Drosophila melanogaster: one gene and its partner. The protein of the gene in region 1 interacts with the protein of each later gene in a biochemical or structural test. Each region holds a gene or a part of one and is shown on either strand. Other genes may lie near its edges.

Evidence for each region. The genes of interacting proteins can lie anywhere in the genome.
Region 2: the proteins of per (region 1) and tim form a complex in vitro, tested with the Drosophila melanogaster proteins (one study listed by BioGRID).

Annotation. Positions count from the first base shown.
Region 1 is NC_004354.4:2,683,700-2,691,590, forward strand, and holds the start of per (period), read left to right. Parts: upstream 1-1,880; 5' UTR 1,881-2,201; intron 2,202-4,497; 5' UTR 4,498-4,545; coding exon 4,546-4,640; intron 4,641-4,700; coding exon 4,701-5,740; intron 5,741-5,804; coding exon 5,805-6,161; intron 6,162-6,223; coding exon 6,224-7,891. UniProt on the Drosophila melanogaster protein: Essential for biological clock functions. Determines the period length of circadian and ultradian rhythms; an increase in PER dosage leads to shortened circadian rhythms and a decrease leads to lengthened circadian rhythms.
Region 2 is NT_033779.5:3,504,175-3,508,998, reverse strand, and holds the start of tim (timeless), read left to right. Parts: upstream 1-1,780; 5' UTR 1,781-1,803; exon of another isoform or gene 1,804-1,810; intron 1,811-2,242; 5' UTR 2,243-2,441; intron 2,442-4,420; 5' UTR 4,421-4,472; coding exon 4,473-4,638; intron 4,639-4,699; coding exon 4,700-4,824. UniProt on the Drosophila melanogaster protein: Required for the production of circadian rhythms. The biological cycle depends on the rhythmic formation and nuclear localization of the TIM-PER complex. Light induces the degradation of TIM, which promotes elimination of PER.

The sequences.
Region 1 (7,891 bases):
TTTCACTTGAGCTTGTATCTCCGTTTGTGCTTACAGTTCAACGCTGGGACGGAATTGTGGTGCCAGTAATGCCACCTGATGTGCTACGTCCATCCTCTAATCGCAATCCATATTCATGGGTCCACAGGTCCTCGGACCTACGCCACTTGGACGTTGAAAGGGTGGGCCTTGGGAACTCGGCTCTAATCCCGCTCACAGTCCGACCGACACTCACCCGAAATCACCACCCGGAATCCGATTAGCGGCAATCAAATGAAATCACAGCACATCAAAACGCGACGGGGAGTGGCGAAGTGCGGCAAGTCAACAGTCGCAGCATCAAAATCAAATTAGCAGCAGTTTGGTGGCTAATTCGAACGCACTTTATCATTTTCGGGCAGGCGTCTGTGACTTTGTGGCACGTGTGTGGCCGCGATAGATAAGAGCGAGCCCCAGCAAATGCCAGCAAACTCCGGCTAGCTTGGGCAAACACCACACACGTGGCCACAAAGGAGCTGCGTGTGGAGTGGGTGCCGGGTCAAATGGATTTTCACACCCACTCGACGTCGGCAAAGCCGCCAATTAATAGAATTCAATTATTCAAAGCCACCGCAGGCCGATGGGACGGCTGATAAGGCATAAAGACATCCTTGGGCACTTCGATCGGATTAGGATAATAAAAAATGCTCCGAAAAAAAAAGAAGTTGTGGGGTCCATAAAAATATGCTTTTATGAGGGGGTAGCTAAAATCATTTCCTATTTATCAGATGCCTCAACTTTTAACCCTTCAATTGCGAAGACTAAAAGCCAAATTCAATGCACAGAAATTGCAAGTAATAATCATTTGTAACTGCATAGCAGTAGTATCAGCATCGAACCGAACCACTCGACCGCTCGGAGTTCATCAACCCCTCGTGGAAAGACGGGGAATCCCCTGCTGGCAGGTATGTGTAACGCCACCTGTGGGCCACAGCGCGCAACAGCCAGCTGGGCGGAGGCGGAAAAGCCAGGGAAAATCAGCTGTCGCTATCATCCCACTCCGTACGTGTTTCAGCGCACGCCGCGCACACCTGCCCAGGTAGAGCTTCCACGGGACAAACGGGAAACAGAAGCCCCCAAAAGCTTGGCGCCACTTTCAACTTTTCATCCGTGCTAGAGAGCCGAGCTGCTAGACCGATGCACTGCGTTGACTGCGGACTGGCGCTCTGGTGCACTGCTGGCCGCACTTGGACGATGACCAGGTGGGTGGGTGAGTAATGCCGTTGCGAAATGCCAGTGCCAGTGCGAGTTCGCACAATTCATGGTGGGGCAGGGACGGGTCCGAGTGCAAAAAGCGTCCGAGAAAGCCGTAGGCAGTGAAAAGCCGCCGCTCACGTGGCGAACTGCGTGACTTGGCCAGCAAATCCGCCGCCCAGCCGGCTCCCCGGAAAACACCCCTCGGAAAACGTGCTGCCAGCCGCCCACCAGGCAGCCCCAAAAAGGCAGGGGATTCCATAGCTTTCCTTAACCTGCAGTTGGTGCGTGGGGCTTGGATTGACACTTGGCATCGGCAGTGCCATGTAACGTATCCCACAGCATAGATAAAAACCAAAAGAAACTAGTATTCAATAGAAGCTATGAAAAAGAAAGATATCCAACATTATAGCAATCTATAAATGGGGTTTCTTGCTATGGAAAAGGGAGTCTTTGGCATTCCAATTACTTGCTTTTGTTGTTCGCGCAAAAGCTTCGCCCAAGGGTTAATGTTTGGGTCCGAGTATCTCAGCCGACCAGCGATTTCCCGAGCGACTGCGATTCCCAGCGATTCTCAGCGACGGCGGAGAGCAGCGAGTGAGTGTGAGAAAATTCTGGGAATGCGAGTGCACGGGGGCTTATACACCGGAGCTTGCGATGCGAGCACTAGTGTTCGTGCGAATTTAGAGCCAGAAGGTCGACAACGCGTTCGTCGCACAGTAGAAAGTATTGCCATATACCAAATAAATCGCAACAACGACCTGTCGAATCACGCAAACAAACAGCTTCGTTTTTTTTTTTTTAATTTCGACCAGAAACAAACCGTTATTCTTTGGTGCCAGTGTTAGTGTCAAGTGTATCGAGCTGAGTGACATATAGCCACAGCCAAAAAGTGAGACCATAAGTGAGATTCCAAACAGAAGGCAGCAGCAGCCTAATCGCAGCCTAATCGCAAAAAAGTGCAGCTGGGTGAGAGCGAGAGCGAGTGTGTAAGTGCAATTGTCACGTTGTTGCAATAAAGCTGCAAAGAAAAATCTCAGCAAGAGGCGCTAGATAGACCATTATCATATTGCCAATACAAAACAACGCATTGGGCAGGCAGCTTACATAAATAACTCGGTTCATAACGTCCAATGGCGCACTTACACATATGTACATATAGTGTTTATTAATAAGTGCACGTTGCACACCGAGCAAAGCGTAAACAAAAGCCCACATCAAAATACCTGACCCTACCGAACAATGCTCCGGGAATGCCCCACCACTTCCTTCCTTGCAGTGCCAAACAAACATACTCTGGCCGCAGAATACGCATACGCAACGTGGTGCACCACTGCAGCCGCTTGCCTTCCGGTCACCTGGAGTGCAGTACTGCAGCACACTGCGCCTACGTGAAGTGAACTCATTCATATATGTAGCTACATAGCTCTAATCGATGCCCGGCATCCAATCTGGGTCAGAGCATATTGCGCATACGCAGCGTGTTCCCTTTTGGGCATTGCACCTTGGTATTTTCAGCTTATTTGCTGCACACACGCCACGTGGGCGCAGTAATTTCTGGCAAATTTGGAATGTCTATTAAAACCCCTACGATTTGGATAGCCGCAGTCGCAGTCGCGTTACACAAGCTAAACAGAGTACCACCATTAATAGCTCAACGTTCCCATTCGTGCCCCGAATTTTCCCACAGTCTTTCCCAGTATGTCTTGCCCCCGGGTTATGCGACTGTTATCCATGTCTGTCGCGCTTCCTGTGCTGCATTATCTAACATCCTCGGAATGACGCACGACCAATGTAATCCAGCAATCCAGAGGCATCGCGGCGGATTCGATTCGACCAGTTGGCCTTCTTGCTTTGCTGCGTCAAAGTTCACCCACATATGGGATGCGAACTGGGTTAACCAGCGAGTTACACAATCCTTGGTGGGTATAAACTGAAGGATTTGGGCAGATTGAGCAGTCGGTTGGAAGCCAGTTTGTTGGGCAAAAAAATGGTATTATCCAATGGAATTTTTCACCTTCTTTGGAATTCTTTCTTCTTGAATTCTGGGCCGTCGAAACAACTATCAGCTTGTTTACTTGGCCCATTTGGTTATCTTTGCTTTTAATGGAAACTCTGAAGAGCCTGGAATGGGGTCCACCCTAATGCCTGTGTGTCTGTGTAGTATTTTTGGGTTTAGTTGATTCAGCCAAATCGGAGAGAATGAACCTGGGTCTTATGCAATCGCTGAAACCGAACTCCTTGCCGAATTGAATGCTTGCTATATGCACCGATTACGACATAGTGGTGCATTGTGAGAAATATGAGTTCTTCGCTGCGTTCTTTTTTTGTAATTGCAAAATTGCTGAAAAGAATGTGTCTTCTACTGAGGTACAGGGTACATGGTTCTGAACTACACACTACACGTATCTAAGTATCTAAGTACGTATCTGCGAATCTGGAGCCGGGATGCATTGCGACTGCATAACGACATCCGTTGGCGGAGCGGCAGAGGCAACGCGAGAGCAAAAGCACATCGCACTGCACGTGAATGCAGCGTCGCGCCGTCTCGCTCTCGCTCCCGCTGCGCTGTTAATTAGCACAGTGAAGCCTCGTTGCAGGCAACCACCGTGTGGGCGACATTGTTCTCTATCTATCGTTCTGAGTCTGGGCCGGGCAGAGAGTATACGATTCAATCAATGGCCACCATGCAGGTGCAAGTCAAGGTGACAATTTCACAACAATGCTCCAGCCAATTAGGACTAGAAGTTATCCAAGCCATGATTCATGAACATGAATGGCAGGCAGTCGGAACACGTGCAACGCCTGGTTTCCCCCCCATCATCCATTCGCTTGGCCTAGAAGATCCTAGAAAGCGTTGGTGGTTAGCTGGGCGGCACAATACTATTGGCGAGCAACGTGAAGACGGTAACGAAGCAACATTCGGAATTTGAATTGGATTCTAGAGAATCGGGGGGGTTTGCGCGTCGCAGCCCGGTGCCGCAACAGATTTCGTGATTCATTTCATCACCCGGCCGAAGTGAAACTACTCACAACGCAATCGACTCACGTTGATGCAACAGCGCTGCTCTGAATGAATCCGGTGCAAATAGAATCCGCATTGTAGTGGTTGGTCATTCATTCAACGGATACTCAGTAGTCACGGAATCTCCTCGAAGGAAGGACAAACATAGATACATAGGTTCATCATAGAAGTGAAATCAGTTAGTTAGTTATTTAGTTACCCCCATTCAAGGTCCTATCAAGGATAACTGAAGTGCTAATGGTCATCATACGATTTTCCAGAATCTCGCACTAGTCAACCAACTGGGCAAGCTGGAGAACCTAAGCACCATGGAGGGCGGCGAGTCCACGGAGTCCACACACAACACCAAGGTGTCCGACTCGGCCTACTCGAACAGCTGCAGCAACAGCCAGTCGCAGCGCAGGTGAGTCCATTTGATGTGCTCAATCATGCGAGTAGTCTAAACGATCCATCCCCTTTCCAGTGGCAGCTCCAAATCCCGCCTGAGCGGCAGCCACTCCTCCGGCAGCAGTGGCTATGGGGGCAAGCCCTCGACGCAGGCCAGCAGCAGCGACATGATCATCAAGCGCAACAAGGATAAGTCGCGCAAGAAGAAGAAGAACAAGGGCGCCGGCCAGGGGGCGGGGCAGGCGCAGACCCTGATCTCGGCGTCGACGAGCCTAGAGGGCAGGGACGAGGAGAAGCCGCGGCCCAGCGGCACTGGGTGCGTAGAACAGCAGATCTGCCGAGAGCTGCAGGATCAACAGCACGGCGAGGATCACAGCGAGCCGCAGGCCATAGAGCAGCTGCAGCAGGAGGAGGAGGAGGATCAGTCCGGCTCCGAGTCGGAGGCGGACCGAGTCGAGGGCGTGGCCAAGTCGGAGGCGGCACAGAGCTTTCCGATTCCCTCGCCGCTATCCGTCACCATTGTCCCGCCCTCGATGGGCGGCTGCGGCGGAGTGGGCCACGCAGCCGGTCTGGACAGCGGGCTGGCCAAGTTCGACAAGACCTGGGAGGCAGGTCCGGGCAAGCTGGAGTCCATGACCGGGGTGGGCGCAGCGGCGGCGGGCACAGGGCAGCGCGGGGAGCGGGTGAAGGAGGACAGCTTCTGCTGCGTCATCTCCATGCACGACGGCATCGTCCTGTACACGACGCCCAGCATCACCGATGTCCTGGGCTACCCGCGCGACATGTGGCTGGGCAGGTCCTTCATCGATTTTGTGCACCTTAAGGACCGCGCCACCTTCGCCAGTCAGATCACCACGGGCATACCCATTGCGGAATCCAGGGGCAGCGTGCCCAAGGACGCCAAGAGCACCTTCTGCGTGATGCTGCGTCGCTACCGGGGACTCAAGTCCGGCGGATTCGGCGTCATCGGCAGGCCCGTCAGCTACGAACCCTTCCGCCTGGGGCTCACCTTCAGGGAGGCTCCGGAGGAGGCGCGACCGGACAACTACATGGTCTCCAATGGCACCAACATGCTGCTCGTCATCTGCGCCACTCCGATCAAGAGCAGCTACAAGGGTGAGTATCTGTGCCCGTTTTGGTTTCATCCAGCCATCTAACCATCGATCTCTGCCCCCCCCAGTTCCCGACGAGATTCTCTCACAGAAGAGCCCCAAGTTCGCCATACGCCACACGGCCACCGGGATCATATCGCACGTGGACAGCGCGGCGGTCAGTGCACTGGGCTATCTGCCGCAGGACCTGATTGGCCGCAGCATCATGGACTTCTACCACCACGAGGACCTCTCAGTCATGAAGGAGACCTACGAGACGGTAATGAAGAAGGGTCAGACGGCGGGCGCCTCCTTCTGCAGCAAGCCATACCGCTTCCTCATCCAGAACGGTTGCTACGTCCTTCTGGAGACCGAATGGACCAGCTTCGTCAATCCATGGTCCCGCAAGCTGGAATTTGTCGTCGGACACCATCGCGTCTTTCAGGGTGAGTTCGCGTGCCGACCCAGTGATCCAATGATCCTCTAAACAGGTCATTTCACCTTCCAGGACCCAAGCAGTGCAACGTCTTCGAGGCGGCGCCCACATGTAAGCTGAAGATATCGGAGGAGGCACAGAGCCGGAACACGCGAATCAAGGAGGATATCGTGAAGCGCCTGGCGGAGACGGTGTCCCGTCCGTCGGACACGGTCAAGCAGGAGGTTTCCCGCCGCTGCCAGGCGCTGGCCAGCTTCATGGAAACGCTCATGGACGAGGTGTCCCGGGCGGATCTCAAGCTGGAGCTGCCGCACGAGAACGAGTTGACCGTCTCGGAGCGGGACAGCGTGATGCTCGGCGAGATTTCGCCGCACCACGACTACTATGACAGTAAGAGTTCCACCGAGACGCCGCCCAGCTACAACCAGCTAAACTATAACGAGAACCTGCTGCGTTTTTTCAACAGCAAGCCGGTCACGGCGCCGGCGGAGCTCGATCCGCCCAAAACGGAGCCGCCGGAGCCGCGCGGCACGTGTGTCAGTGGCGCCAGTGGTCCGATGAGTCCCGTCCACGAGGGCAGCGGGGGCAGTGGCTCCTCGGGCAACTTCACCACCGCCAGTAACATACACATGAGCAGTGTGACAAATACGAGCATTGCCGGCACTGGTGGCACGGGCACTGGTACAGGTACAGGTACTGGAACTGGAACTGGAACCGGGACAGGAACTGGAACCGGGACAGGAACTGGAACGGGAACAGGTACAGGCACAGGCACAGGCACTGGAACAGGCAATGGAACAAATTCCGGCACCGGAACCGGCACCGCCAGCTCATCCAAAGGCGGAAGCGCCGCCATACCGCCAGTCACGCTGACCGAATCCCTGCTCAATAAGCACAACGACGAGATGGAGAAGTTCATGCTGAAGAAGCACCGCGAGTCGCGCGGACGGACGGGTGAGAAGAGCAAGAAGTCCGCCAATGACACCCTTAAGATGCTGGAGTACAGCGGTCCAGGCCACGGGATAAAAAGAGGAGGCTCCCATTCCTGGGAGGGAGAGGCCAACAAGCCCAAGCAGCAGCTAACCCTGGGAACAGATGCGATCAAGGGAGCGGCAGGAAGTGCGGGCGGAGCAGTCGGCACTGGCGGTGTGGGATCAGGAGGAGCCGGTGTGGCGGGCGGAGGAGGATCCGGAACAGGCGTAGCAGGCACACCAGAAGGCAGAGCCACAACGACCTCGGGAACGGGGACACCAGGTGGAGCCGGAGGCGGAGGCGGAGCAGGAGCGGCAGCAGCGGCTGGAGCGTCCTCCTCCGTGGGCAGTTCCACGCCAGGACCCTCGTCCTATCCCACCTGCACGCAAAACATAAACCTCTGGCCACCGTTCTCGGTGGGCATCACACCGCCCGTTCACTCCACGCACACGGCCATGGCCCAGAGCAGCTTCTCCTCCGCCGGCCTCTTCCCGACCTTCTACTACATCCCCGCCTCCTTGACGCCCACCAGTCCCACGCGCTCTCCCCGGATGCACAAGCATCCGCACAAGGGTGGCACGGACATGCCCACCACCTCGCAGCAGGCGGCTGCCGCGGCCGCCCAGGCCATGCCGCTGCAGTACATGGCCGGCGTGATGTACCCGCATCCTTCGCTTTTCTACACACACCCGGCGGCGGCCGCGGCCACGGCCATGATGTACCAGCCGATGCCCTTTCCGGGAATGGCCAACGCTCTCCAGATTCCCG
Region 2 (4,824 bases), on another chromosome or scaffold:
AGCACGCAGCCAGCATTTCAAACACGCGACCCTCCAGGATATCGCACACTTCGCCGGCGCATGTCGCGTTGTTGGAAATGAGTCTACTTGGCCACGTTAAGAGGATGTGTCGGGCTGCACGAGTCCTTGGCCGTTTGTGAGGGATGGAGTGGGCATCGCATCTAATTGTTTTGCTTTTGATTGGGAGGCTTATCAGCCAACTTTCATCGTGACTGTCCACCGTTCATGTGTTACATGCGGCGTATACGCAATTACTTGCATTACGTATACGTAGGGACAAGTTTTTGTGCATTGGCGTGGCTTACTTTGCCGCTGAACGGACTCCGCCATTGTTGTGTTTGCTTAGTGATAAATTAGCTTACAGAAATTAACATCAGGCGTTGCATAATTCAGATGTATGTACTTGCATAGCCTTGGCATTGGCGAAGTGATCGCACAACTTACGTTGAGTGGAAACTTTGGGCGGATCGGCTGAAGTGGTCTAATCAATGCTATGTTCTTACATTGGCACTTTCGTTTTTCTCCATTCACTTTGCAGCAATGGATATATAACTTAAATATTATTTGCAAAAAATAAAAAAATTAATTCATAGTTGAAATGTATTCAATCAAAATCTGCTCCTTTATATTAAAAATATAGTTAGATTGTCACCTTTTACAAAAGTCTAACCATCTAATTAACAGCATTATTAATTTGTTTCTTTTTTTTGTGACAACTAATCTTCTTATTGAAATAATAGAATTTGATAGTCTGGGTTGAATAACATTTTGACGTCAAATCGCCTATTGTGAGTGAGTGACTTCGTAAAATGAGAGTGTCAGTTATTTATTTCTATCGCCCCAGTCCGAGCAAAAGTATTTTCCTAAACCTCCGTTTCCAGTCGATTTACCACCGCGATTCGGTGCCGACGTGCTGCAGCTCGCGCCACCGTGGAAACACTCAAAGTAAATATATACGCTCCCCACAGTATACGCATTCAATGAGCCCGGTGCGTATACGCCGCGTGTGCCCGCGCCTGCAACCAACTGTTGATTCCGTTCCCAAAAGGATTATTCAACGGATCATCTGAGGCACTCAGAGCCGAACAATGTCACCCTGACGAAGCCTACGGCAGAGTCGTTCGAAGGCGGCGTCAAAAACGTTTAACTTTACACTGAAAAAAATATTGGTTTTAATGTGAAACGTCTGTGAGGAATACAGTACAGCAGCAGACAAAATAATATAATATTTATGTATGTAACAAAATATGTCATTGAATATATTATATACATATAAACGTGAGTGTTGTATAATCAAAAAAAAACGTAGTTTTGAAATCATTTATATTAATTATTTTGCACACTAAATATATACATTTATTAAATAAAGTAAAGTAAAGTATTAAAGTAAAGTGAAGTCTCGTTATTGAAGATACCATTTGGTAAAGTGACACACTTTTTTTTTTTGAGTGCACAGAAACGTTCTGACTATTGCTGTTGTTCCCAGACTGTTCTCCGTATTTTCCGGCGCTGGTTATTCATGTTATCGAACATCGTAGTGGCGGTTGGCAAATAAACGTGCGGCACGTTGTGATTACACGTGAGCCGATTTCCCCGGCCGTCCGGCATTGAGTGCGAGCGGGACGGAGCAGCGCGGCGAGAGCTTTCGGCTAGCGTCTTTCGTTCGCACAAACGCCGGCAGCGGCACGTTGGCCCTGTGTGAGTGGGTGTTTCGGTCAGTGTGTGTATCTGTGAGATGCATTTTGTATCTGACTTCGGTGAGCTAGCCGTAACTCAGATCGCATTCAGCATTGTGCGTTCCAAGTAAGCGGTTCGTTGAGCGGTTCGAAGTTTATCAACAAAATAGAAGTTTCGAAAATAAATATCTCTTAAATAAAGAAAATTTAATAAAGATATTTTGCTAAAATAATCTTGAATACTTTTGTGAATTCATGCAATAATATTTATTAATTCACATATCAATAATCTTAAAGAGAGTGCTTACATGACTCACTGGTCTTTCTCTCAGTGTTTAGCCTAGATTGCAATCGAAAAAAGTGCAAATTAATTGCTATTGAAGTTGCATTTTACATAAGCCAACAACGAGTATAAAGAATTTTTTGTGCAGTGTTAACAAAGCAAAGTTCACAAAGTGTTAAATAAAATTGCAAATCCTTAACAAATTTTTCATGAGTGGTTAAAATCTTAATATTACCAAAAAAACTGAATTTACCCTAACAAATATTCTTAAAACTACTTTCAGATATAAAACAAAAATAATTTCATCAGTGTATATAACAGCACTGAAACTATAACACGATCTATTCTGCAAAGAAACCCAAAAAGTGCTCAGAAAAGCTCAATTGCTTAGAAACATAAACAATCAGCTTTAATTGTTGATTGCAATTCGGCTAAAACTAAAACAGTAAAATTGTCTGCGATAGAAAAAATTTAAATAATTGGTAAGAAATATAAACCACTAGTATATTTAACATTACATAGCTTAGACCTGACCTAACACAGTTCGTTATCAGTTGACCCCTGACAAAATTACACTTTAACAAAGCTTTCTAAAAAGTAGCTTTAAGCGGCGACATATTCAAGCAATTAAAGCTTGCACAGAAAGAAAACCCATTTCCACATGAAAACGAAATCACATAATACTGGGAAAATGAAAACAAGTTAAAGGGGCAATTTACGAAGCACAACAATTCTCCGTTACAATTCTTATGTAAAAAGCACGCAGTGAACTGTCAAAAAAGGAGGCTTGGCCTTCCACGGAATTCCTGTCAGAAACAGGATAGCGAAATAAGTACGGGAATCGTCCTGAAACTGACAGATTTCATCCTGGCACACAGATGTTCAGTGGTTTCTGCTCGTTTAGCTAGGATTTTAACGACCCTCAGATGTATTTGCATTGCAAATTCAAATCTTAAATATTTATTCGTGATCTATCTTTGCTTTCCGTTTCAAATGCAAATTCAACCTCGCTTCAATGAATTTCCCCTTTGCGAAAGAATGAAAATTGTTTTCACTCTCCAAGAAAAGTAGATACTCAGCTCGAAATTTCAATGCGCATATCATTTTGTAGTTCTCGCCTTGCGTTTTATGTAAGTTGGGTCTTTGATTTCATAACCAGTCAGCGGAAATGGTATTGGGGTTGCTAGAAACGTTTCACAGATACAAAGATGCTCAGATGATCTATGATTTCGGATGGTGCAAAAATTATGCTCGACCAACAAAATTCGATATTAGTTTCAGTAGAAATATCTAAGTAAAATTTAAAAGAAAAGTATTTTTATTTTTTTTCTCTTAGATATCACTGTTTTCTTATTAATTATATTTTTTAATATTTTCTATAAAATGTCCATAATTTATTGTCCCTCAATTTACACACAATTAAATCTCCCTTCTTAGATATAATTTCCTATTGAGCATTATTACATTTTAAAACAATTTTATAGTAAATCAGCTAGGCCATAAATGGCTTTGTAATTTTAAAATTTTCTCAACTGTTTGCGCTGTTTATTTTCCGCTCTTGGCCATTTAGCGTGCCATTTAACGTGTTCGCCCAAAAGAGGGCAACGAAAACCAATGCAACTAAACTGCATTCGCTTTAATGGCCAAATATAGCACGAAACATTCAAAGTCAGCAGGCTGGAAGCCGCACAAATGCCAAATCCTGCATCCCGATTCATGTCCTATAAATATCGCTACGGGTGGTCGGCTTTTCCGACTGCAGGCTTTGTTCCTCCGGAGTCCCGTAGTCCGTAGTCCGTTTGCGAACCCAGTGGCTTTGTCCTCCAACTGTGTTGTTTACACAATCAGCCCGGATGTCTGCAAGTGAGTCACATGCGGCCACCGGGTGCCGCAGTCGCCTGTTGAGGATTTGCCTCGTTACGTGATGGCTGAAGGTTGGGCTCCCCCCTGTGTGGGGGGGGGGGGTGGTGGTGTTTGCCAATCCAGCCCACTTTTTCACTTTCCGGACTGGCAAGTGTGGCTTCTGGGAACTTTCGGGGCTCGTCTGGTAGGCAGTTTCCTTGATTCGACTCGCAACGGGTGGTAAATGGGAGACGTGCTGTGCGGACACGTGTGTGAGGTGATGTGGAATGGGAGTTGATTCGGGTTTCATCCCCGAGCGGCTGCAATTGCAGCACATTGCATGGACTGCGCCCTTGATGGTCACATGGGTGGCGATTTTGTTTGCGAGTGCAAATATTTATGGGAATCATTTGTGGTTGCGTAATGCCCTGGAAGACGATGGGTTAGTGACCTTAACATATTTTAAGGTGACTGTTACAGCTTACAAAAATGCCATAAATTTTTCACCATTTCACATCTCAGTTTAAATGTGTAATATTATTTAAATTCACCTCTGGTACCACGTTAAGAATATTTAAGTTTTAATAACAATTAAATATACATTTTTGTTTACTTATAGTTACAGATACCGCGCAAATGGCTAAGAAGTACCTCAATGTTCGCAGTCGACAATGAGCAGAGTTAGGCAGCTCCACAATCACATCTGGAATAATCAGAACTTTGATAAAGTGAAATCGGTTATGGACTGGTTACTAGCAACTCCGCAGTTGTACAGCGCGTTCTCCTCCTTGGGTTGCTTGGAGGGCGATACCTATGTGGTCAACCCGAATGCATTGGGTGAGTAATCAATATAGGACTACTACATTAATTAGGTATTTAACTTATTTTCAATCCCCAGCCATTCTGGAGGAGATCAACTACAAGCTCACCTATGAGGACCAAACACTGCGCACCTTTCGACGGGCCATTGGATTTGGCCAGAATGTGAGGTCAGACCTGATACCGCTGCTGGAGAATGCCAAG